Xenopus tropicalis: one gene and its partners. The protein of the gene in region 1 purifies or fractionates together with the protein of each later gene. This does not show direct contact. Links are inferred from orthologs where the notes say so. Each region holds a gene or a part of one and is shown in the gene's direction. Other genes may lie near its edges.

The links.
Region 2: the proteins of tacc3 (region 1) and enah purify together in Homo sapiens (co-immunoprecipitation; 3 studies listed by BioGRID and IntAct, with this or other methods). This does not show direct contact. The link is inferred for Xenopus tropicalis from reciprocal best matches to the Homo sapiens genes TACC3 and ENAH.
Region 3: the proteins of tacc3 (region 1) and ckap5 purify together in Homo sapiens (co-immunoprecipitation; 5 studies listed by BioGRID and IntAct, with this or other methods). This does not show direct contact. The link is inferred for Xenopus tropicalis from reciprocal best matches to the Homo sapiens genes TACC3 and CKAP5.
Region 4: the proteins of tacc3 (region 1) and slain2 purify together in Homo sapiens (co-immunoprecipitation; 3 studies listed by BioGRID and IntAct, counting the BioPlex papers as one, with this or other methods). This does not show direct contact. The link is inferred for Xenopus tropicalis from reciprocal best matches to the Homo sapiens genes TACC3 and SLAIN2.
Region 5: the proteins of tacc3 (region 1) and vasp purify together in Homo sapiens (co-immunoprecipitation; 3 studies listed by BioGRID and IntAct, with this or other methods). This does not show direct contact. The link is inferred for Xenopus tropicalis from reciprocal best matches to the Homo sapiens genes TACC3 and VASP.

What each region holds. Positions count from the first base shown.
Region 1 is NC_030677.2:20,374,067-20,379,323, forward strand, and holds the start of tacc3 (transforming acidic coiled-coil-containing protein 3), read left to right. Parts: upstream 1-2,063; 5' UTR 2,064-2,184; intron 2,185-5,257. UniProt on the Homo sapiens protein: Plays a role in the microtubule-dependent coupling of the nucleus and the centrosome. Involved in the processes that regulate centrosome-mediated interkinetic nuclear migration (INM) of neural progenitors.
Region 2 is NC_030681.2:8,522,754-8,527,243, forward strand, and holds part of enah (protein enabled homolog), read left to right. Parts: exon of another isoform or gene 1-10; intron 11-87; exon of another isoform or gene 88-111; intron 112-404; exon of another isoform or gene 405-500; intron 501-673; exon of another isoform or gene 674-1,027; intron 1,028-1,284; coding exon 1,285-1,625; intron 1,626-2,771; coding exon of another isoform or gene 2,772-3,551; intron 3,552-4,490. UniProt on the Homo sapiens protein: Ena/VASP proteins are actin-associated proteins involved in a range of processes dependent on cytoskeleton remodeling and cell polarity such as axon guidance and lamellipodial and filopodial dynamics in migrating cells.
Region 3 is NC_030680.2:12,922,393-12,926,882, forward strand, and holds part of ckap5 (cytoskeleton-associated protein 5), read left to right. Parts: intron 1-662; coding exon 663-738; intron 739-2,127; coding exon 2,128-2,316; intron 2,317-3,031; coding exon 3,032-3,169; intron 3,170-4,250; coding exon 4,251-4,334; intron 4,335-4,490. UniProt on the Homo sapiens protein: Binds to the plus end of microtubules and regulates microtubule dynamics and microtubule organization. Acts as a processive microtubule polymerase. Promotes cytoplasmic microtubule nucleation and elongation. Plays a major role in organizing spindle poles.
Region 4 is NC_030677.2:38,879,353-38,884,520, forward strand, and holds the start of slain2 (SLAIN motif-containing protein 2), read left to right. Parts: upstream 1-2,056; 5' UTR 2,057-2,188; coding exon 2,189-2,589; intron 2,590-5,168.
Region 5 is NC_030684.2:70,566,054-70,570,543, reverse strand, and holds part of vasp (vasodilator-stimulated phosphoprotein), read left to right. Parts: intron 1-634; coding exon 635-672; intron 673-973; coding exon 974-1,218; intron 1,219-1,467; coding exon 1,468-1,613; intron 1,614-2,799; coding exon 2,800-2,885; intron 2,886-4,490. UniProt on the Homo sapiens protein: Ena/VASP proteins are actin-associated proteins involved in a range of processes dependent on cytoskeleton remodeling and cell polarity such as axon guidance, lamellipodial and filopodial dynamics, platelet activation and cell migration.

The sequences.
Region 1 (5,257 bases):
AGGCCCCTAGGTGCCCAACTGTGATCCACTGTCAAAAAGTGAATATTTCTGCAACTGGCCTGCTGCTGTTGCTACTGGGCTTGATGGCCAAAGAAGTTATATCAGTCAATGACCATTGCTTTCTGATGACTCCCTCTGGGCAAACATGCCAACTTTCCCTATAGTTTCAGGAGTCAGTTTTGGCCCAGTCTCCTGCTTCCCTTCATTTGTGTCAAAGGTTAATTTTAGACTTACCAGTAAAAAAAAGATATATAAACCCTGCATTAAACTGATACAGGCAGCATGGGGCATAGCTGGGAGTGGGTATGGGGCGTGGCCAGGGGTGTAACCAGGCGTGATTGCGGCAAAACAAGGTGTGGCCAAAATGTTAATAAAAATGGCAAGTTGGCATATCTGTCAGTGGTGTCAAACTCTGACAAAACCAAATAAGCTGCTGTGTAGCCATGGGGGCAGCCATTCAGGAGAAAAGGCACAGGTTACTTAGCAGATAATATACACTATATAGAATATAATGGGGTTTAATCTGTTATCTGCTAAGTAACCTGTGCCTTTTCTCCTGAATGGCTGCCCCCGGGGCTACACAGCAGCTTATTTATATAAACTATAGAAGTCTTTCTGAGGCAAACACACAACTTTCACCAGTGCAGGGCAACAGTACATAATATTTTAATTACTTTTATACACTTTTTTGGTTTTACTGTTCCTTTTATGCCGTGTTATTAATAGGGAAAAAAAGGCCAAAATATAGGCAGTCAGTATTTTTTTCCAGAACAGGTGGCAACCCTAGGTGCCGGAGGAAGCTTTGCTTCAGTTGCATTTAGTGCCCTAGATGGGCTAGAGCAGGGGTGGCCAGACTTTCTTTAGTCGCGATCGACCGGATCAACACGGAATGCGGAAGTACGGCGTGAATACCTACATACGTGACGCAGCGTACGTACGCATTGACGGAGCACTCCTGCATTCCTGGCGTGATTGCGTTCCACCAGAAATCCACGGGGGATTGACTGGTGGATGCAATTGGACCCCTGGGCTAGAGCCTTTATAAAGCAGCAACTGCCACGGTTTGCCACCATGTCTAAAGCTGGCCATACACCCACATAGTTTCGTCCAATTGTTGGACCACGTGGTGCTTGGTTGTTTAGTCAATCAGACAGATTAGAAAATTTTGGTAGAATAACAACAAAATCTGTGCTTGAATTGTGTATCTGACGATATCTTAAAGCTGGGCATACACGCACCGATAATATCGCACGAAACCTCGTTTCGTACGATATTCGGTGCGTGTATGGCAAGTTGGCGAGTCGACCGGTATCGCAGGAGGCTGCTGATATCAGTTGACTCGCAGATCGGCCAGGTCAAAAGATTTTGATCGGGCGCCATAGAAGGCAAAATCTGCTGTCAGGGCTGAATCGGCAGAAGGAGGTAGAAATCCTATTGTTTCTACCTCCTTATTTGCCGTTTCAGCCCTGAAGGTTAGTGGCGGGTCTGACGATCGCGAAAGATCGCAGATCACCATGTGTGTGGCCACCTTTAGGTGCATTTCCAGGACATCACTTTCCCTACAATTGTTGTCTGCCAATTATTTTATGTTTCGGACTTTATCCAACAATTTTATCTGAACATTTGTTGGAAGGAAACAAGAATCAGAACTTCTATGGACACCTTAATAGCACAATTATATATTCCTCACAAGAGACTTCTCAGATTCTGGCAAACACCATTTCTGCCTTACACTAAATCTAGCAGTGACTGGTGATAACCAAAAATAAGTATTTATATTAGACATATATTTATTAAACAAGTGGGAGAAAGCACAAGAACCCAGGGGAGGATACGTGGCAGGCGGGAATGAAATGAGAAGACAACAAGCAGAACAGTAAGCCATTACACAGGGAAGCGCGATCCCGCTAAAACAAAGACGTCACACACAGTCACGCCTCTCACTGTACGGGGGCGCGCAAACCCGTGTCACAGCCCGCGCTCTGTGATTGGTTCATTCGTAACTGTTCGTGACGTAGGGAGTTTTCGGCAGCTGTGATTGGACGGGTTCTTCCAAACTCAGAAATTCAAAAAAAGTACATGGTCAAAAAGCGTCTGAGGCGCAGCAGGCTTGCACAGATACCCGCCGGGGTGCATAAAGGTTTAAATAGCGCGGTGCCGGCAGCTCAGGCCTTCTTCTCGCAGGTGAGGGGATATGGCGAAGTAGTTTGTGACTGGGTTCTTATTGCTATCGGTGGGGCTGGTATACACGGGCGATGACTGACTTCTGTGTCGTGATTGTTGAGGCAAAGGGGGCGCACGTATTGTTTAGATGTTTAAGCGACGTCGGTATTTAACAATGTTCAGCGTCACAGGGGCGCAGGTCTGGATTTTGGGCAGAAAGACTATTTACTTAGGGGTTGGGGTAATGGCTTTATTACTATTTAATACACAGCGACCCCTTGGCCTTACTGCACTGCATGGTGAGGAGGAGAGGGTTGGGAACTGTAGTCTGGGAATTCTACGAACTTATACATGCAAAGGTATCCATGTCCTGTCACCTATAGCAACCAGCAGGCCTGGACTGGCAATCTGGGGGTTCAGGCAAATGCCAGAGGGGCTGCTGTAAGGTGCCATAGACACTCACTATTTATTGGGCTTATGAGGGGCTGTTTGGGCCTCTGTGTACTGGGAATGCCAGAGGGGCTGCTGTAAGATGCCATAGACACTCACTATTTATTGGGGGGCTGTTTGGGCCTCTGTGTACTGAAAATCAGGCCTGGACTGGCAATCTGTGGGTTCAGGCAAATGCCAGAGGGGCTGCTGTAAGGTGCCATAGTCACTCACTATTTATTGGGGGGCTGTTTGGGCCTCTGTGTACTGAAAATCAGGCCTGGACTGGCAATCTGTGGGTTCAGGCAAATGCCAGAGGGGCTGCTGTAAGATGCCATAGACAGTCACTATTTATTGGGGGGCTGTTTGGGCCTCTGTGTACTGAAAATCAGGCCTGGACTGGCAATCTGTGGGTTCAGGCAAATGCCAGAGGGGCTGCTGTAAGATGCCATAGACACTCACTATTTATTGGGGGGCTGTTTGGGCCTCTGTGTACTGAAAAATCAGGCCTGGACTGGCAATCTGTGGGTTCAGGCAAATGCCAGAGGGGCTGCTGTAAGGTGCCATAGACACTCACTATTTATTGGGCTGGGGGGGGCTGTTTGGGCCTCTGTGTACTGAAAATCAGGCCTGGACTGGCAATCTGTGGGTTCTGGCAAATGCCAGAGGGGCTGCTGTAAGGTGCCATAGACACTCACTATTTATTGGGGGGCTGTTTGGGCCTCTGTGTACTGAAAATCAGGCCCAGACTGGCAATCTATGGGATCTGGCAAATGCCAGAGGGGCTGCTATAAGGTGCCATAGACACTCACTATTTATTGGGCTGCTGGGGGGCTGTTTGGGCCTCTGTGTACCTGAAATGCCAGGGCCTATGTTCAATCCCAGTACAGACTTGCAACCAATTGCATTTCATTTTGTTGGTATAATTAGTGCTGGGCGGTATACCGTAAAATACCGAATACAGTTTTTTTTTTTTAAAAAACGATATTCATTTTTGAAATACCCCCATACCGGTGATGATCGGGTTGCGCCCCGTGCGTACATGACGTCAGTACGCACGGGGCGCAAACAGAAGCGGCACGGGCCGCATCGCTGGCCAACTTGCTGTATGGGGGGTGGTGCTTATAAATAATAATCGTAATTATAAGGGGAAAGTGGGGGGAAAGCTTCCTGCTGGTCACAGCTGGTTACATGCTCCCTCTACTTGCGCCTCACTGGTACAAACCTCCCAAAATTGCACATTCCAAGTACAGAACTGCATGAAGCAGTGCTTCATATACCGATTTAGAACCTCTGAGGAATTGTACCAACACGAGCCTTTCCATATATTTTCAACTTTGTTCCCTGTGGATTAAATACTAATTGTCTCAATAGCAATATTTAGGGGCCCTGGCCACCAATGTTAATTGGAAAAAAAAATACCGTCAAATACCGTGATACTGATATAATTTTGAAAAATACCGTGATATAAATTTTTGGTCATACCGCCCAGCTCTAGGTATAATCCACAAAATCCACCAAAGCATTGCCACCCTGGGGGTCTAGTTATACCCTGGACTGGGGTTGTATTGCTCAGGGTGGGTGTCTGCCATCCCCGGTGCCCTATACAGGCTTTCAGACTGAATAGACAGTAGAGAACTTTTCTAAAGAGTGATTTACTGCTTGTTCATGGAGTCTGTAGGGGGGGCAGGGGATAGCTGGGAGGAGATGGTGGGTAGGTACCACCCTATGCCAGTGTGCATGAAGAACCTCATCTGAAGTTTATAAATTGGCACCTCCATTGACGTGGGTGTGGCCGACATGCTTGATATTCTTCCTGAAGCTGCAGAATTTGTGTAAAATGTTACCTGGCATCTGGGCTCCCTAGTGGAGGCTTAAGAAATCTAGAGGGTGGAGAGGATTTATCATTATTTTGAATGCTTTAATAGAAAATACCTGTTAAATGAATGCTTTAATAGAAAATACCTGTTAAAACTTGCCTTCCTGTCAATTGCACTACAGCGATACGGCGAAGGAAGGAGCAGCATCCACTGTGCGACGATCGGTTGATCGAGCCTAGCCTTCCTTCTGTATAGGAAGGAGTCAGGCTAGACTCATCAATCGTCGCACAGTGGATGCTGCTCCTTCCTTCGCCGTATCACTGTAGTGCAATTGACAGGAAGGCAAGTTTTAACAGGTATATTCTATTAAAGCATTCATTTAACAGGTATATTCTATTAAAGCATTCAAAATACTAAGTGGTTTGCAGGATAGGGCGGTTATTGGTGCAGGGTAGAATAGCTTTTTCACTTAAAAAAATTTTAGTGTTACTTTTCCTTTAAAGGGGCCTTTCTTGCAGCATGCGCTAAATAAATAGAGTTTATGTTGAAAATACATCTACCTACACTTTTAAAGAAAAAACTATCCATATTGATTTTATTTAATAACCTAGCAATAGAGGAGCTTTGGTTTCACACTTTTCATATCTTCCATCTGATGAAGTTAATTAGGTAATATTAAGGTGATAAACAAGGTGCAAACTTCCCCTTTAACACTGCCTACATTAACCACTGTTTTGGAGAAAACGGTTTATGGACCTCCAACCCATACAATTAGTTACTGTATTGCAGAGTTTATATATTTGGGTCTGGAATGCAAAAAATCAGCTAATTAAAATTAAATGACC
Region 2 (4,490 bases), on another chromosome or scaffold:
ACTGTTACACCTAATGGCCCCTCATACTGTTACACCTAATGGGCCCCTCATACTGTTACACCTAATGGGCCCCTCATACTGTTACACCTAATGGGCCAATGAGTTCTACACCTAATGGGCCCCTCATACTGTTACACCTAATGGGCCAATGAGTTCTACACCAGGGCCCCTCATACTGTTACACCTAATGGGCCAATGAGTTCTACAACCAGGGCCCCTCATACTGTTACACCTAATGGGCCCCTCATACTGTTACACCTAATGGGCCCCTCATACTGTTACACCTAATGGGCCCCTCATACTGTTACACCTAATGGGCCAATGAGTTCTACACCAGGGCCCCTCATACTGTTACACCTAATGGGCCAATGAGTTCTACACCAGGGCCCCTCATACTGTTACACCTAATGGGCCAATGAGTTCTACACCTAATGGGCCAATGAGTTCTACACCTAATGGGCCAATGAGTTCTACACCTAATGGGCCAATGAGTTCTACACCTAATGGGCCCCTCATACTGTTACACCTAATGGGCCAATGAGTTCTACACCAGGGCCCCTCATACTGTTACACCTAATGGGCCCCTCATACTGTTACACCTAATGGGCCCCTCATACTGTTACACCTAATGGGCCAATGAAGTTCTACACCAGGGCCCCTCATACTGTTACACCTAATGGGCCAATGAGTTCTACACCAGGGCCCCTCATACTGTTACACCTAATGGGCCAATGAGTTCTACACCAGGGCCCCTCATACTGTTACACCTAATGGGCCCCTCATACTGTTACACCTAATGGGCCCCTCATACTGTTACACCTAATGGGCCCCTCATACTGTTACACCTAATGGGCCAATGAGTTCTACACCAGGGCCCCTCATACTGTTACACCTAATGGGCCAATGAGTTCTACACCAGGGCCCCTCATACTGTTACACCTAATGGGCCAATGAGTTCTACACCTCTGTGATCTTTATTATCCAATAGTATAAAAGCCTCATTTATGGATCCCTCAGTGACTCCCTGCCCAGCATGCAGACAGACAGACAGTACCTGGCTCTGTTATGGTTTTGGAATGACAGTGTGAGTGACACTGTGACCCTAGTTAAGAGATTATTTGGGAGAATAATGGGTTGTGAACTAGTGACCGGCAGCACGCCGACCCCTCCATAGTAGTAAAGGTGACTGCCATTAAAATATTAATGTTGGTAGAGGAGGGCATTTAGCAGGTAGCCATGGTTCCCTTTATCCCTGTGTCATGGCTCTCTCCGTTCCTGTTTCAGACAGCTGCAAGAGCAGCAGCGCCAGAAAGAGATGGAACGCGAGAGGCTGGAAAGGGAACGGCTGGAACGTGAGCGACTGGAGCGCGAACGGATGGAACGAGAGAGGCTGGAAAGGGAAAGGCAAGAAAGGGAAAGACTGGAGAGGGAGAGACTTGAACGAGAGCGCTTAGAGCAAGAGCAACTGGAGCAGGAACGGCAGGAAAGGGAGCGTCAAGAACAGCTGGAGCGAGAGCTCCAAGAGCAAGAGAGACTTGAACAAGAGAGACAAGAGAGAGAGGCCCAGGAAGAGCTGGAGAAGGAGCAGCTGGAATGGGAAAGGGAGCGGAGAGTGTCCAATGCAGGTAAGTCATCGTTCCCAATTGGATCCCTCTTATTGGCTCACTGAATATATATATGAGAGGCCATAGTGCTAAGCGCCTCATTGTGACTTTGGTGTCTCTCAGTGCTTTCCTATTCACCTATTTCCTAGAGGGTGGGGGTTTCTTGGTCGTACAGTTTGCTCTGTGGTACATTGCAAGCCCTCACTGAATTGCCCCATTCGGCCCTTTTGCTCTCTATGAACCAAATCTACCAGCCAAGGATCAGCCGCCATTAATAGAAGGTGCCGGGGTCAGCTGACCCTGCAGTGACTCTCAAACACCATCCGGCACTTATTGCCGTAAACGTACTCCACGGGTTTCTTTCTGCGATCTGGGAAATGGATGGATGATTTCATCCTTATATAGTGATTTGCAGCAGGAGTCGTTGGTTTGCAGCATAAAAAAGTCTACTGTTGAAACCAAAATATTAAACATAGAGTGGAGTTGGCTGGATTTCTGCAGGAACGACCGGTTTATATTAGGGCTTTGGATATAGACGTGCCGGACATATTCCCTCTTAATGTTTTTCGATATCTTGTTTTATTGAGAAGGAAATGATATTCTGCACATTACAGAGTATTTGGAGGCAGAGCATAATTGCCCAGGGAGAGGGTAATTGCCCAGGGAGAGGGTAATTGCCCAGGGAGAGTACATGGCAATCAATCCCAGGCCTCAGTAAGCAATAAGCCCCCCTTTGTAGCCCAGTCTGGCAGCAGTGAGTGGTGCCGGGGTTGCACAACATGGGGTATTTACCAGTAGGGTGCCATTCCCGGGCAGGGGCAGTGGGGTAGAGAGTGAGTGACATTAGGGGGAAAGGACAGTAGGTAAGTCGGACTCACTACATGAATGTGGAGTAACTGAAACCAATTGTGCTGGTGTTATTATCTTTCTGCCCCGGGGGGGGGGGGGCGGTACAGAGTCCCTCTAGCAATGCCCCGTTAGGCAGAATTTCTTGCACCTATGACTCAATGAATTCATTGCAATATTCCCTTTATCTAATCTATTACTAACAATTTCCATTGATTTATACTTTTTGTTTGAATGCTGGTTTGGTTGCTTCATTAGCCCCTTTTTTCTCTTTTTTTCCTGTTTTTTCGTCCTGTCTGTTGCTATCCCACCTCTCCCCAGACCCCCCGTTCGACAGCTCACTGTATAACACTCAACATGTTGATTTTTCCAGCTGCCCGCCTCATGCACCCTCTCCCATAACTTACGCTAAAGCCATTTCCGTTCCGGTCTCGTCTATTTGTAGCGAGTCCATTGCTGACTATGTAATAGCAACCTCTGCCTCCATTAACTCTACTCCGCCAACACCACCGCTGCGCCACTCGGCATCACGTTTTGCAACCTCTTTGGGCTCCGCCTTTCATCCTGTTCAGCCCCATTACGCCACCGTTCCCCGACCCGTTAATAAAATCTCCCGACCTCCTTCTCCGGTGAATGCTGCTCCGCCTCCACCGCCTCCACCTCCTCCTCCCGTGAAGCCCATATCATGGTCGGCTTCTAACTTTGCCCCCCTTCCTCCTTCTCCTCCGGTGATGATTAGTAGTCCTCCGGGCAAAGCGACCGGCCCCAGACCCGTCCATCTAGTCTCCGCTCCCAGCCAGCTGGCCCAAATGGCTCTCATATCTTGTGCACCCAATGGGCACGCAGACTGCTCTGGTTACCAAGTGCCGCCGCCTCCGCCCCCATTGCCGCCATTCCCACCATTTTCATTGTCCTCATCTCCTTCCCCGAGCACCCCTGTTGTCTCAGCACCTTCATCCCAGCCTAGTGTTCTCCCTTCTCCCTCTGCAGCTTCCCCTGCCTCTGTTGAGAATTCTGTAAGTTCTGTGCTGGGAGACTTCTCTGCTTCTCAGCCAGACCTGCCTACACCTTCTCAGCTGACTGACCCTACGGCCCATCCGGGTAAGACTTATGGTCGCTGCAACTAACTGACTAACCTAGATGTTCATTCGCAATGTGTATTGTTTAACCCTGAGCAGCCGAGTAGGAAGTACCCTACAATGTTACTCTGGGGGGGTCGGGGGCTGTTATGGTTTTACTCAGAATCTGAGCACAATTTCTCCAAAATGTTCCAAAGCCGATAGTCTCCCTTCCTCCTTCCGCCTCAGTAATAGGTTCTTCTGCTTCCCAATGTGTTTCCTCACTTCTTACAGAGACCTGTAACTGTTAATGGTGAACAAACACCTTGATTCATAACTGCCATTTTGCATAGGAAAGCGATTGCTGATAAGTTTGCCCTGAAGAAAATGACAGTTAGTGCCCAGGCAAAGGGGTGACTAGAGGGGAACTCACACTTAGAGAGCCTCACAGAGTCCCCAATGGGGTTGGTTAAACACGCAGAATTACACACAAAGCAGCCAATAACCGAAGAGGTAAAGAGGGTCCTGTCCAAAAGAGCTTACAATCTAGAATATCCGGAAGCGACCCATATCTGATTTTCTCAGGCAGAAGGAATAGGCTGGATGTGTCACATTACCGACCCCACAATCAAGTTATTTAGTTTTTTGTTCAGCAGCTTCCCCAGTTTGGAGTTTTAGCAGCTATCTGGTTGCTGGGGTCTTGTTTACCTTAGCAACCAGGGAGTGGGTTAAATGAAAGACTGGAATTTGAATAGAGAGGGCCTGAATAGTAAGATAAGTAATAAAAAGTAACTATTAATACATCTGTAAGTGCATGGAGCAATAGATTTTGGCCGTCGGGGGTCAGTGATCCCCCTGGCACCCATAAAGCTGACCTATAGTGAATCAGTCTCTAGGTGAGGCAGAGGCAGCAGATTCTCAGCAGATATCACTGAGCGCTGATTATAACTTGATGACATCACTGAGCGCTGATTATAACGTG
Region 3 (4,490 bases), on another chromosome or scaffold:
TTAATGCTGCTTAGAGTTAGCTTTGGGGAGTCTTTCTTTTAGATACACCCCAAAAACCAGTTTGAAGGTCAGAGTAAGACTTGGAATAAAAATGTATTATCTGCACCGTAACTATGGTTGAATGACTGTGCCACTATTTTTATCTGTAACCTAGTAAATAACTAAGGGGGGCCATGGCTTAAAGGGTTTGTTCACCTTTAACTTTTAGTATTATGAAGAGTGATATATTCTGAAACAATTTGCAATTGGTCTTTTTCATTTGTGGTTTCATTATTTTAACCTTTTATGTAGCAACTCTGGTAATCTGGTTGCTAGGGTCCAAATTATCCCCGCAACCACACACTGATTTGAATGAGAGACTGGAGTAGGAGAGGCCTGAATACAAAAGTTATTAAAAGTAACAATTGCAAAAATTGTAGCCTCACAGGGCAATGATTTTTTCAGCTGCCGGGGTCAGTGACCCTAATATAAAAGCTGTAAAGAAGCAGAAGAAAAGCAAATCCAAAAACTATAACACAGAAAACGAAGACCAATTGAAAAGTTGCTTAGAACTGGCCATTCTATAGTCAAAGGGGGTTAGAACAAAGTTTTGACAGCCCCTGCTTAATAGAAACCCTGGTATCTGGTAAGTCTGCCCAAACTAACTCTGTCTGTCTCTGCAGTGCTCTGCTCATGCTGCTCCAGGATAGCCTCCTTGCTACGGCTAGCTCCCCCAAATTCTATGAGCTGGTTATGAAGGTACGGTGCAATCCAAAAATTGTTCCATTAGTTGATGAATCTTTTATATTTGTCAGTTGTTAATGTTAAACACTTTGGGGTATATTTATCATGCTGTGTAAGAAGTGGTAATTGCCAGTGATGTCGCTCATAGCAGCCAATCGGATGCTTTGCTTTGGTTTTCTGTTAATCTAATAGCTGATTGGTTTCCCGGGCAGTAATGCTTCACCCCACTTTTGCCCGGGAAACCAATCCGCTATTAGATTAACAGTTAGAAAACCAAAGCAAAGCATCTGATTGGCTGCTATGAGCCACATCACTGGTAATTACCACTTCTTACACAGCATTATAAATATACCCCTGTATGTAGTTTCCCTCTAACTTTGTTTCCATGTCATTACATCGCATTCAGTTTTTTTTTTAAAAGATTTTATTTTGCTTTTTTAAAGATTTAACAGCATTAAAGGAACAGTAACGCCAAAAATGAAAGCGTATTTAAACTATAATGTACTGTTACCCTGCACAGGTAAAGTTGTGTATTTGCTAAAGTAACGGTACTATAGTTTATATAAATAAGCTGCTGTGTAGCCATGGGGGCAGCCATTCAACCTGGAAAAAAGGAGAAAAGGCACAGGTTACATAGCAGATAACAGATAAACTCTGTAGAATATAATGGAGCTTTATCTGTTATCTGCTGTGTGCCTGTGCCTTTCCTCCTTTGAATGGCTTCCCCCATGGCTACATAGCAGCTTTGTTTATATAAACTATAGTAGTCTTTCTGAGGCAAACATACCAGGTGTACCAGCACAGGGCAACAGTACATAATATCGTAATTTATTTTTATACACTTTCATTTTTTGGTGTTACTGTTCCTTTAAGGGAACAGTCCCTTTACAGACCAACAAGGGAGAGAGTCGGGGGCAGGAGAAGAAGGGGAAAGAGTGAGCTGGTGGGGGGAGGCAAGTCAAGGGGTTACATTTATATTACTCTCAACACCGCAATACCTCTACATCACATTCAGTTTTACTTGAGCTTCCATTGTTCACTGCGTTCGACTTCCTGAAATGTTATTACTCTTAAGTGAAGTCTTAGCCTGGCAACCAGGTGATGTGGGCCTATGCCAGTGTGGCCTATTGACATTGGCTAGTAGTGCAACTATGCAGCCAAACAATCCCCTATGGTTGCTCACAGCCTAAACATAGTTAACATTATATTATATTAAAAACTATACAAGCCTTTAAAGCTATAGAGCAACTTATAACTCTCTAAAACTTTGCTGGCCATATTGGTTATGTTCCAGGCCGATTGCTAAATTGTATTATAACATGAAGTCCAAACCAAACTTTATTAGACAATCTATTTCTAACGCTGTAGGACTGCATTGCTAATCCTGAGTTTTTGTCTCCGCAGTGTCTCTGGCGAATGATCCGTCTCCTGCCGGAGTCCATAAACAACCTTAATCTGGATAGGATTCTGCTGGATATCCACAACTTCATGAGGGTCCTGCCCAAGGAAAAGCTGAAGCAGCATAAGAGCGAGCTGCCTATGAGGACATTGAAAACTCTGCTGCACACACTCTGCAAGCTCAAGGGGCCCAAAGTAAGCCACTGGGAATATTAATATCGCAGAACTACATATCCCAGAATGCATTACAAGCTGGCCAAAGGAATGTGGGAAATTGTTGCTTACAGAGGCTTGGGTTGGCTGTTCCTCGTGTAAAAAGATGTAAAGGGATTGTCCACCATTGAGTTAACTTTTAGTATGATAAGAGTCGTAATCTGAGACTGGTCTTTTATTTGCAGTTTGTTTGGCAGCTCTCCAGCTTGGAGTTTCAGCAGCTATCTGGTTGCTAGGATCCAAATTACCTTAGCAACCAGGGTGTGGTTTGAATGAAAGACAGTTGCAAATAGGAGCGGAACTGAATAGAAAAATAAGTATTATAAATATAATGATAAAAATGCAGCCTCGGCAATAGTTTTTGGCTGCTGGGGTCAGGGACCCCCATTTGAAAGCTGCCAAGTTAGAAGAAAAATGCAAATAATTCAAAAACTATGAAATACAAATAACGAAGATTAATTGAAAAGTTGCTTAAAATTGGATTTTCTTGAACTTACTAAGTAACTTTAAGGTTAACTTTGGCCGTAACCCCGAGTTAGAAGATGCAATTGACTTCAATTGGTTAATTGTATTCTGTATTCCCCTAAGGCTAAGCAGCGATCTTCAGATTGTGCAAACTAATGTAGCCAATGATCACTTCCATAGATTCCAAGTATCCCATGTAAGTTGACTGTAGCAAACACTTAATGTGTTTTAGATCATGGACCATCTGAGTATGATTGAGAACAAGCACGAGTCTGAGCTGGAGGCCCACCTCCTCAGGGTAATGAAGCACTCCATGGATAGCACTGGATCAAAGGGCGACAAGGAGACTGAGAAGGGAGCATCCCGCATTGTAAGTTTCTAACTGATGGCCCGTTTTCCATTGTGTAGTTGGCCAACAGGGGGCACTAGGAACAATGAGCAAAAGCAGGCAGAAAGAAATGCCTAGTGGCCTTTATAGCCCCCAGTACAATACATAACGGTAAGCATATTCAACAGAGAGGCGGCCATACTCAGGCCGATTGCAGCTGCCGATATCAGTCCCTTAAACCGATTCGGCAGTTTATCGGCCCGTGTGGGGGCAGAAATGACAGCCATGCCGACCAACATCTGGCCTGAAATTGGCCAGACATCAATTGGGCATGTTAAAAGATTAAGTCTGATCGGGGACCGAATCGGCTTGTTGATGTGGTCCCCGAACTGACTGCCATTGCTGCCGTTAGAATTCGATCGTTTGGCCGCAAGGCCAACCGAATTGGCCTACATTTTCCCAATATCCCCCACCCATAGGTGGAGATATTGGGAGAAGATCGCCAAGCGAGCAGATCTCAACATGTATGGGCACCTTTTTAGCCTTGTTAAAGTTGCATGTTTTTAGATCAATAGGGGTAGGGCCTGCTCGCAATCTACATTTGTGATTTATCCATTAGGGCCTGCTCACAGCTTGCAATCTAATGGTTTTTAGTTTCTTTCCCAGGAAGTGACCTGGGCCAAACTGTATTCAGTTGTTGCTGGAACACAAATCCCAGTAGACTTTATATATCGGGGCGATAGTGCATGCTTAGGACTGTAGGGCATCACGGTTGTATTCACTAGTGTATGAGTGTTCCTGCTTTCTGATTAGACCCAAAGCAGGGGTGGGCAAACTACGGCCCGCGGGCCACATCCGGCCCCTTGGCCTTTTTAATCCGGCCCGCCAACGACGCCAAGTCTCATCACGCGAGACTTGGTGTCATTGGCGGGCCGGAATTAAAGAGACTAAGAAGGGCTTAACGCTGGCCTGGCCCTGCCCGCCCTGGTCCGGTCCGGCCCAGCCCGGGGGTAAGTAAATGTGGCCCGTGAGCCCAAAAGTTTGCCCACCCCTGACCCAAAGGAATAAAACATAGGAAAGGTTTTGTACAAAATCCAACTAACTAAGCACTTTCTGTCTGTAGGAAGACAAGGTGTCCAAAGCAAACGTGAGCGACTTTCTTGCTGAAATCTTTAAGAAGATCGGCTCTAAGGAGAACACTAAAGAGGTGAGTGTGGGAACCAGGTGACTGGCCACGTGTGGCTTTATTCAGATTGTTATAAGCCAGGGGTGGCCAATACGTAGATCGTGGTCCACCAGTCGATCCCCCGTGGATTCCTGGTGGACCGTGATCAAGCCGGGGATGCAGAAATGCTGAGTGAAT
Region 4 (5,168 bases), about 19 Mb from region 1:
CAGGCTGAACTGCTGACAGAGCAATGTTTTTACATATCTATGACCATTTTATGGGCTAAGGGGTACTCTAGCCAAACCATGGACCTCAAACAGGGGCTTGAAATAAAAAATGTTTAAAACCACTGGTCTGAAAGGTGGTTTAAAGGGAGGCCTTCAAAGGGGCAGAGGTTATAAACCTATTTTAAGGGGATACAGCAATAACAAAACCATTCCCCTTCTTAATCTAATTTCATTTATTTCTATGTGTTAAAAGCTCAGATTTCATATATTTATTCATTCTACAATATCAGTGGTTTTGATTCCTTCTCCTTACGTTCTATATTACTATCACAGCTAAATTTGGTTATTGCCAGGCAGCACAACTATTAAAGATAACATTCTCAGATAGAGGATAAACAAGAGGGTAATTTTACTTGTCAAGTGTCTTGCAATACTACTAGAAGCCAGGACTTAGTTAGGGGGGGTGTCCTATGTTTAGGTTACACCAGTTTTGTTAGCAGGCCTAAATATAACTGAGGAGCAGACATGTGAATTTCCTAATGATCTATTCTGGAGAGGTATGTCAGCACAACTGCTCCAATCTCTGGGATGCTGTAGATGTTCTCATTTTCAGGATTTATATCAACTATTTAGATTTTTTATTTTAGAAGCCTGAGAGTGACCACTTATAAGGTAACATGTAATCTCCCAAACACGATGGACTCTATTTATTAACTATTGAAGAGGCAATGTTCTCTGTTTAGCAGTTCCTATTGATTTTGGAAAAGCTTTTTCACAAAGCTTCATTAAGAGGTGACTGGTCAGAATGATGCTGAAGACGATATCAGTATAGAAAAATGTCACCAATATCCTATTACTTCAATTATCCCTGGACTGGGAGTCAAAATAGGCCTGGCATTTGAAGTACCCAGAGGCCCAAACAGCCCCCCCCCAGCCCAATAAATAGTGAGTGTCTATGGCATCTTACAGCAGCCCCTCTGGCATTTGCCAGAACCCACAGATTGCCAGTCTGATTTCAAGAGCATTTCTACAACTACTACACAGCTACTCAATGTAGTCATCTTCACTATTTGCCAGTCTGGATGTTGGTGTGCAGCAAACAGGGTTAAACCTTTAAGTGTCATAATATAGAGGACTGGACATGTATTCTAGTACCAATTTGCCATTCTCTTTCAAGATAGGTGGTGGAATCTTACCTAGGGTACTTAAGAGTGGATATAGGTTGTATATCAACAGCTGGAAAGTTGCTGTTTGGCCATCCATGAATTGCACATTTTTACCCATAGACTGGGGCTTGCCCACCTCCATCCTTCCTACATACCCTGGCACCCCAACATCTATAACTGGAGCGGGTAAATCTAGCATTAGTGTCAATGTTTCTTACAAATATGGCACTGTTCCAAAGGCTGCTCAGCAGTTAAAGCACTAGAATTGTAACACCAAAAAATGAAAGTGTATCGAAGTATTTAATATATTATGTACTATTGGCCTGCACTGGTAAATGTTGTGCGTTTGCTTCAATAATCTTTACTATAGTTTATATAAACAAATCTGCTGTGTAGCCACAGGTGTAGTTATTTTAAGTTTAAGAAAGGAGAAAAGGCACAGGTTACATAGCAGATAACAAATAAGCTCTGTAGATCACCATTGTATTCTTCAAAGCTTATCCATCATCTGCTATGTAGCCTGTGCCTTTTCTCCTTTTTCCAGCTTGTATGGCTCTGTGCCACAGCTTATTTATATAAAACGCAGTAGTGTTTCTGAAGCAAACACAAAACATTTACCAACAGCACCTTATTACCAATAGCACCAAATATTTTTTGGTGTTACTGTTGCTTTAATAAAGTTGAGGGGATCCCTAGGGAGCCGCCTAACTTCTGTCTGCGCTGTGACGCAACGTTTCGAACACACCCAAATGCCCCTATGCCACTTGCCCAAATCAAAGATGTCAGCTTGGAGTCCCTTGGCAGTTACGGAGCAGCAAATGGGATTCCATTTTAGGGAGGGGCTTGAGGTGCTATGCCACGTCCCTTTATTGCGAGTTGGTGTCTTCTGATGAGGGCTGCTGTGGGATTGGCTAAGGGCGCTTGGTGGGCGCGGTCTGAGGGCGCAGAGTGGCAGTTGCTGTGAGGCACCGGGCGATGTGTTCCTGCTGGGGCTGAGCCGCTACCGGGAGCGGCGGAGGGATATGGAGGACGTTAACTCCAATGTGAGCGCAGACCAGGAGGTGCGGAAGCTGCAGGAGCTCGTCAAAAAGCTCGAAAAGCAAAATGAACAGCTCCGGTTACGTTCCAACCACACTCCGAGCTCTCCCCGGGCAGCCACTCCTGTCAGCCAGCAGCCCCGGGCACAGGCCGTTCCGCCAGCCGCCTCTTTCCAACTTTTTGCCGGCCGTAGCCTGAGCCCGGGGCCTGGTCTGTATGAGAGACCGGCTGGGCTAGCGGACGGGGCGACATGGGAAGAGCTGCTGGAGGAAGCCATAGAGGAAAGGAGGAAGGACGGGGAGAGCGGCCTCATGCTGGAGCAGCTAGTGCCACTTCGGCCGGAGGAACTGGAGAGGATGGTCCCCTTTGATGAAGAGGAGAGCTGGTAATTCTTCTATTTCATTGTGACAGGAGCTCCCAACTGTTGCTGAACTACAACTCCCACCATGGCCCGAATGCTGCCACCCAGCTCTATAAATGTCTTATCTGCCCCAAAACTGCTTTATCTTCATAGTGACAGTAATGGCCATTCTGGGCCACTGCCCAATATGCATTCGTTAGGGTTAATGCCTTTATAGTTGTTTTGAAATATAATTAGCACTGAATGCCTTCTGTGTTTATATACTGTACTGCTGCTGTCCCTGACTCATGAAACCATGTAGCAGAAGCTAATGAGCAGGCCTGAAAGGGAATTGAACACTTTAACAGCTGTTTCAAGAGTCAGAACCAGAGAACAGAAAGTGATAAATACTGTTTTTTCCTTGTATAGAAAAAAAAGTTTACAGCCATTTACATTTTGTATTAATCATATATAGAATGACACAGCAAAAGAAAGTTATTGGGTTGGAGAGCCCCTTTACAAGTTGCAGCAGGTTAGGTGGCCCTGAACTACATGAATTCCAGTCTGTGTTCCCTGACAACTTTATTTCTCTTTTATTCCAATGGGATCTGTATCCTGTGCATGTCCAGCTGTATTCCCACTGCCGCTGCCAATAATATTGCAAAGGGCTGGGAGTGAAGTACAATAAGAAGTGCAACAATAAGAATCAAACTTGCTGTGAGTCTGTATACTGTGGGGGCTCAGGGAGTTGTAGTCTAGTAACTGTAGAAGGTCTTCTCAGGGCAGATTTTGCTCCTTTTATACTGGGAGGTATTTTGTGACTGCTGAGTAATGTGCAGGTTGCCATCCTTGCCCTTCCCTGTAATGAACATGATCTTCCTTAGCACTCTGCTATTGATGCCAGCAGTCAGCCCTATGTAATATACGTTATTATCCTTTGCATAAATCTATGGCTGAAGATAACGCCAGTATATGTTGGGGACTACGAGGCTTTCACAACACAAGCAGCTTGGCATTAGTAGCACCTATGGGCCAGGCGCGTGAGTGTTAGCTGAGGCATCTGCTGATATAATCCTGTGTACTTGTCAGTAGGAGAGCAGTCAGAAGGACAGGGACTCCTCAGGAGTCAGCATTTAGCAGAGTGCATTGATCTTACCCGGATGGCTCGTCTCTCAGCAGTAGCAGCACTTACAGGAGCTGGCATGAGCATTATTTTTAATCATCCGTTCTGAGTATTATCAGTAAGTATTGATATACCATTGGTACCCTGATGCCAACCTCTTCCTCATATTCTCTACGGATTAGAAGCAATATCACTAGAAAACACACAATTCCATAGTCTCTTCCCATAGACGCTGCCATAATGTGCGGGCACAGCTGCTTTCCCCGGGCACAGAAGCTTTCCCTGGCACAAGAGCTTTCCCAAGCACCTATAAAACAGCCTGGGACATGGCAGTCATTTTTGTTTTCTTGTATAGAGGAACGGGGTGACGTAAAGAGACTGGCATGCTTTTATGTGGGCTGGATGCTAATGAAAAGTTGTTTTCTGGCTGGTAACATTAAGTACCCATAAAGAGCAATCCCTGCAGCAGGAAGGCACTTGTCTGACTGCCATAACAATAGCCTGGGTCACAGGTAATTACCAAACTGTTTCATGCTGTACTATGATGTGATGCTAGATTTATAAATTCCTTTAAAGGATATTTAAAGCAAATTTCACCGGGGACGGGGGGCAGTAAAAATGTAAGGCACCCCCAGTGAAATAAATTGCAGAGTTGTTTCCCCTGCCTGGGACTCCTGTTTGAGGAAGACTGCACAGGCCCATGGGAAAAACTATCTGAGCGCTGCATTTTAGTTACTTTCTCCAGGCACCCCTAGTGCATATTTTTATTTCCAAGTAAACCTGGCACATAAGCAGTTTTACTCTACTGCTTATGCACGATCACCCGTATCCAAAGTCTTAGCATATGGTGCAGTGGGTGGTGCAGTTTTCTTTTTGGCACTACAGTAAGGTAGGCTTTACATGTCCAAGATTGGCTCATATGGCTTCTTGGACAAGTGTAATATCCAAGTCTACAGTGAACTCAAGAATTACAGTTAGTTTAGTGTAGTAGTTTGTATACAGGTATGGGACCTGTTATCCTGACTACTCGGGACTTGGGGTATTCCAGATAAGGAGTCTTTTTGGAATTTGGATCTCTATACTTTGTCTACTGAAAAATAATTTAGCAGTTAAATAAACCCAATAGGACTGTTTTGCATCCAATAAGGATGTTAGTTGAGATCAAGTACAAGGTACTACAGAAAAAAAAAAAATAAGTAAAAAAAATAAAAATTACATTATTTGCTTAAAGTGGAATCTAAGATGGTTTTCCCGTAATTCAGAGATTTCTGGATAACAGGTTTTAGGATAATGGATCTTATACTTGTATATAGTTTATATATGTGAGTGTATTGATAAGGCTATATAGGTACAGGATCCATTATCCAAAAAGCTCCAAATTACAAGAAGATCCTAATTACAAGTCCTTTTTTATCAACTAATTTATATTTTTAAAAATGATTTTCCTTTTCTCTGTAATAATTAAACAGTACCTTGTACTTGATCCCTGATCCCTATTGGA
Region 5 (4,490 bases), on another chromosome or scaffold:
GAGTCTGTTTGCAAAACTAGCATTTAAGACATGAAAGCATATTGTATTACTTTGTGCCCAAGATGCATTTGCTCACTTTATTACCAAAATTATGTTTATCTGTAGACAAGAGAAATAAGAAAGGTTGTTAAACAGCAACTGAACAGTGGATGATGATTAGGCCAATGGCAACAATTAAAAAAATGGCAATGGAAAAATATGAAAATACACCTTTAAATATTTCTTATAGACAAATAAAAAACTAAGGCATAGCAGCTTTTAAAAGTGTCGTTCATGTTAAAATAAATGTTACTTCCATGATGTAGACTGTAATATTCTATTACAATTTGCAGTTGGCTTTTTTAAATGACTAGTGTGTTGTTCAGTAGCTCTCCAGTTTGGCACTTCAACAGATATCTGGTTGCTAGAAATTGTTGTGGGCTGCTGGGTCAGTGTCCCCCATGTAAAAGCTGGAAACAAGCAGAAGAGAAAGCCACATAATTAAAAGAAATGATTTTCCTCAACAAACCTAAATGTGAACTACCCCTTTAAGTATTAAAAGATTAGAGCTTTGAGCTGCTCTTGAAGTACAGGGTAAAACACTTTGTAATTCACTTGCTTTCAGATATCCTTTATATATTTCCTCTACTTTCAGGGTGCAACAGGAAATTGAGCAGAGGATTCAGAGCCCAGGTAAGGGAAATAGGGGCCGTTCGGCTTTATAGCTTGTATATTTCCCTTTTGCTGTGGGTCCCAGGGCAGAACCTTTATTGTGGCAAAAGATACCATTGCAGAAGTGGGAAATGTGTGGGTGTATATGTTTTTAACAGATTGTTGAGGTATTGAGCTATCTGCACATTAAAAGGCCAACTTTGGGATTTACAGATAGTAGTTATTGTTAGAGTATAAACAATTATTATACTATATACCATTATAATTAGTTTTTAAATGATTGCCCTGCTGAGAGTATCTTCTTCTCTTTACACTCTTCCAGTTGCCCCGGTCATGCCAACTCCTGCTCCTGCTGCTCCCCCTGCACCACCTGGCCCACCTCCTCCCCCAGGTCCACCACCACCACCAGGGGGCCCCCCAGGGGGCCCACCAGCTCCTCCAGCTCCCACTGGAGGTGGTCCCCCACCCCCACCCCCACTTCCATCTGGGGGTGGAGGAGGCTCAAGTGGAGTTTCTGGGGGGCTGGCGGCAGCCCTTGCAACAGCAAAATTGCGGAAAGTGGCCAAGGTGAGAATCAAAGGTTTGACAAGCATTGTATGGGAAGTTTAGAGGAAAATCTATATAGCTATATCTATATACCATATGAGTGAAGTACCATATGATGGGAGTACATATACTAGATGGTAGAAAACATGGAACACTAGGAAGCAAGATAAAATGATAACAATTATAATTGATTAATGTATGTCTGGGGTGAAAGGACAGTCATTTTTATGGACCATACTAGTTTTTTTTTTTTTTTAATTTGTTTTTTAGAATGATGATGCTGGTGGTGGAGGATCCTCTCCCGTTGGTGGAGCACCTGCCAAGCCTGACATAAGTCGCACAAGTGGTGGGGCAGCAACAGGAGGGGGTGGTGGAGGAGGACTGATGGAAGAGATGAATGCAAAACTGGCTCGCAGGTAACCTGGCAGCAGATTTGAAAGGTTGTTGTAACAATACAATGCTTCAGCAAATAAAAAGTATGCAGGGGGTGTACAAACAGGGTGATCTCTGCCACGTGTAGCATAGACCCACCATTTCTACAATAGAAGAATCATGATTAAACCAAAATGTTGTGCACACTTCTCATCACCTTACTATTACATTCAATAGTTAATTAGCTGACATGGAATGTTAAAATGTATATATTGAAGTATTGTAAGAATATGTTTGCCCCAATGTGCTTAGTATCATACTTTTATAAGCAAGCAAAGGAATTAATTTAGAATCCGGTTTTGTGGTCTCGTAACTGTGGGTAAATGCTGATGTGTGCATGTAGTAGAGGAGAGAAAAACGCTTATGGTGCAAACAGGTTTCCAGGCAGACTGTCACTGGATGGCTGATGTCTAAACTGCCTTTGTTCCAGTATTCCTGACTAAAGCCATACACGCACCAATATTATCGTATGAAACATGTATGGCGGCTCGATGAGGCAACCGATATGGCAAAAGCTGCGGATATCGGTCGTCTCGTCGATTGGCCAGGCTAAAAGAATTGCACCCCAGCAAAATCTACATTTAGGGCTGAATTGGCAGGTGGAAGTAGAATTTCTATTGTTTCTATGTCCATATCTGACGATTCAGCCCTGAACGTCAGTGGAGGGTGGGAACGATCTTTTGTGCGACCAGTGATCGTTATTGCTACGTGTATGGCCACCTTAACCCTAATAGAAACATAGTGGACACTGGAAAAAAGAAGTGTAAGGGGGGGCGTATAAATCGGACCAGCAGAGAGTATGGTATTATATACTGTAAGTGTTTCAACCAAAGTGTTGCACTTTGGTATGAATAAACTGTGCCATACAATACTTCACTATTGGGAGGCTTTTGTTTTGCTTTGTGTTTTTTTATCAGATTTAGCTAAGAGTAGCATTTGTATACAGTATGTTCCACTATTTATTTTATTTCTATAAAACATGCAAATAGAATTATGTATTTATTCCATAGGCTGGCTAAGTTTTGTATACTAATTACAAGGAAAATAAATTCAAAACTAATTAAAATCAAATCAAAATGGGCTTTAGACAAGCCTATCCAGGGAGGGAGGCAAACAGGGGAAACAGGTGGGCCATTGTGTAAGTTGTCGTATACCTTCTCACAATTACAGGAAGATGATGACACAGCAAGGGGAGCGCCCACCACCCACCACAACCCAAGATGATAATGATATTCAGGCAGGACGTGGCCAGAGTGGTAAGTGAAAAATATATTTTAATATATTATCAGCACATTATATGGCCAGCTTTAGAAACTGTTCTAAACACATACTAATAAAAAGTAACTTTCCAATAAAGGAACCAGCCAGTATTACCAGGGGAGATAACTGCTATGTATGTCTTCAGTATTTACTTTTTAATCATATTTGCAGTACACAGATTTTGAAGGAAATGTAGATTTTCCTTCACTAAAAAGACATAATTGCTGTGTAAAGTGCTTTATTCTAAATATATTTACAGAACAAAAAAAACTATTGTCATGGTCTGAGACTATGCATGCAATATAATAGTTGGGTTAGAGGCAGCATGTTGGAGTGGCTTGCAGGAATCATACCCACCTGCCATTTGAGAAAATAAACAGAGCAGAAAAGCAAAACATTTACTGCAAAATATTAGTAAGGTAAAACTTTTGTTTCATTCAAGGGTTTAGGTTGATTGCACATATAGCACATTTAGTGCTTTTTTTTAGCTGGCTAAATTGTACCCTACTACCACCTTTGAGGCCTGCATCCAGAAATTATGGGCACCTGTACTACTTGACTAGCAGGGGCTGCCAGGGTTTTTAGCTTACCAATTGCCCTAGACTCCTGGGCAGTGGTCCCTGACAACTAAGTAGAATGTGTCCCCAATGCAAAAAAGAAGCCAATTAAAAATTTTGCACCAGACCAAGCCCCTGATCTGCCCCACCCCTTCATTGTCTGCAAATGGGACTTTAGTATTTCTCAGGCCCCTCCAGGTCTGGATTGGGATTCAAAATAGGCCTGGCATTCAAAGTACAGGGGCCCAAACATGCCACCTCAGCAGCCCAATAATAATAATAATAGTGACAGTCTGTGGCATCTTACAGTAGCCCCTCTAACATTTGCCAGAATCCACAAATTACTAGTTCAGTTTTTTTACCATGAGCCCCTATCCGGAACTCTTGTGTACACCTAATAACTGCTCTGCTTCCTTTTGGCATAAAGGAAACACAGCGCAAGTGTTTTTAGGTTGAAAGCCACAGAAATTCTTGCTGTATGGTGTTTACTGTTGAAGTCAGTGGGGGTTGGCAGCTGGCAGGGAAGGTTTTCAGTGATTTTTAGCCACCTGAAAAATGTGACCAGTATCTCACAACCTTAAAGGAGAAGGAAAGGCATTTTGACATTTTATTGCCAATAGATTAGTCACAATAGTGCAAGCTAGAACGCTATATTTATTCTGCAGAAAGCTTTAGGGCTCTGGCACACGAGGGAGTTTAGTCGCCCGCGACAAATCTCCCATGTTGCGGGCGACTAATCTCCCCAATATGACATACCACCGGCGAAAATGTAAATCGCCAGTGGGATGGCATACGCGGCGGCGTGATCGCCAAAGTTGCGTCTCGAGGTAACTTCGGTGATTTCCGCAAATCACGCCGCCGCATATGCCATCCCACCGGCGATTTACATTTGCGCCGGATATGTCATATCAGGGAGATTTGTCACGGGTGACTGATCTCCCCGTGTACCAGAGCCCTTACCAAAACAGCTCTAGAAGCTCTTCTGTTTGTTTAAGATAGCAGCTGCCATTTTAGCTTGGTCTGACTTTACTTCCAGGCAGTGTG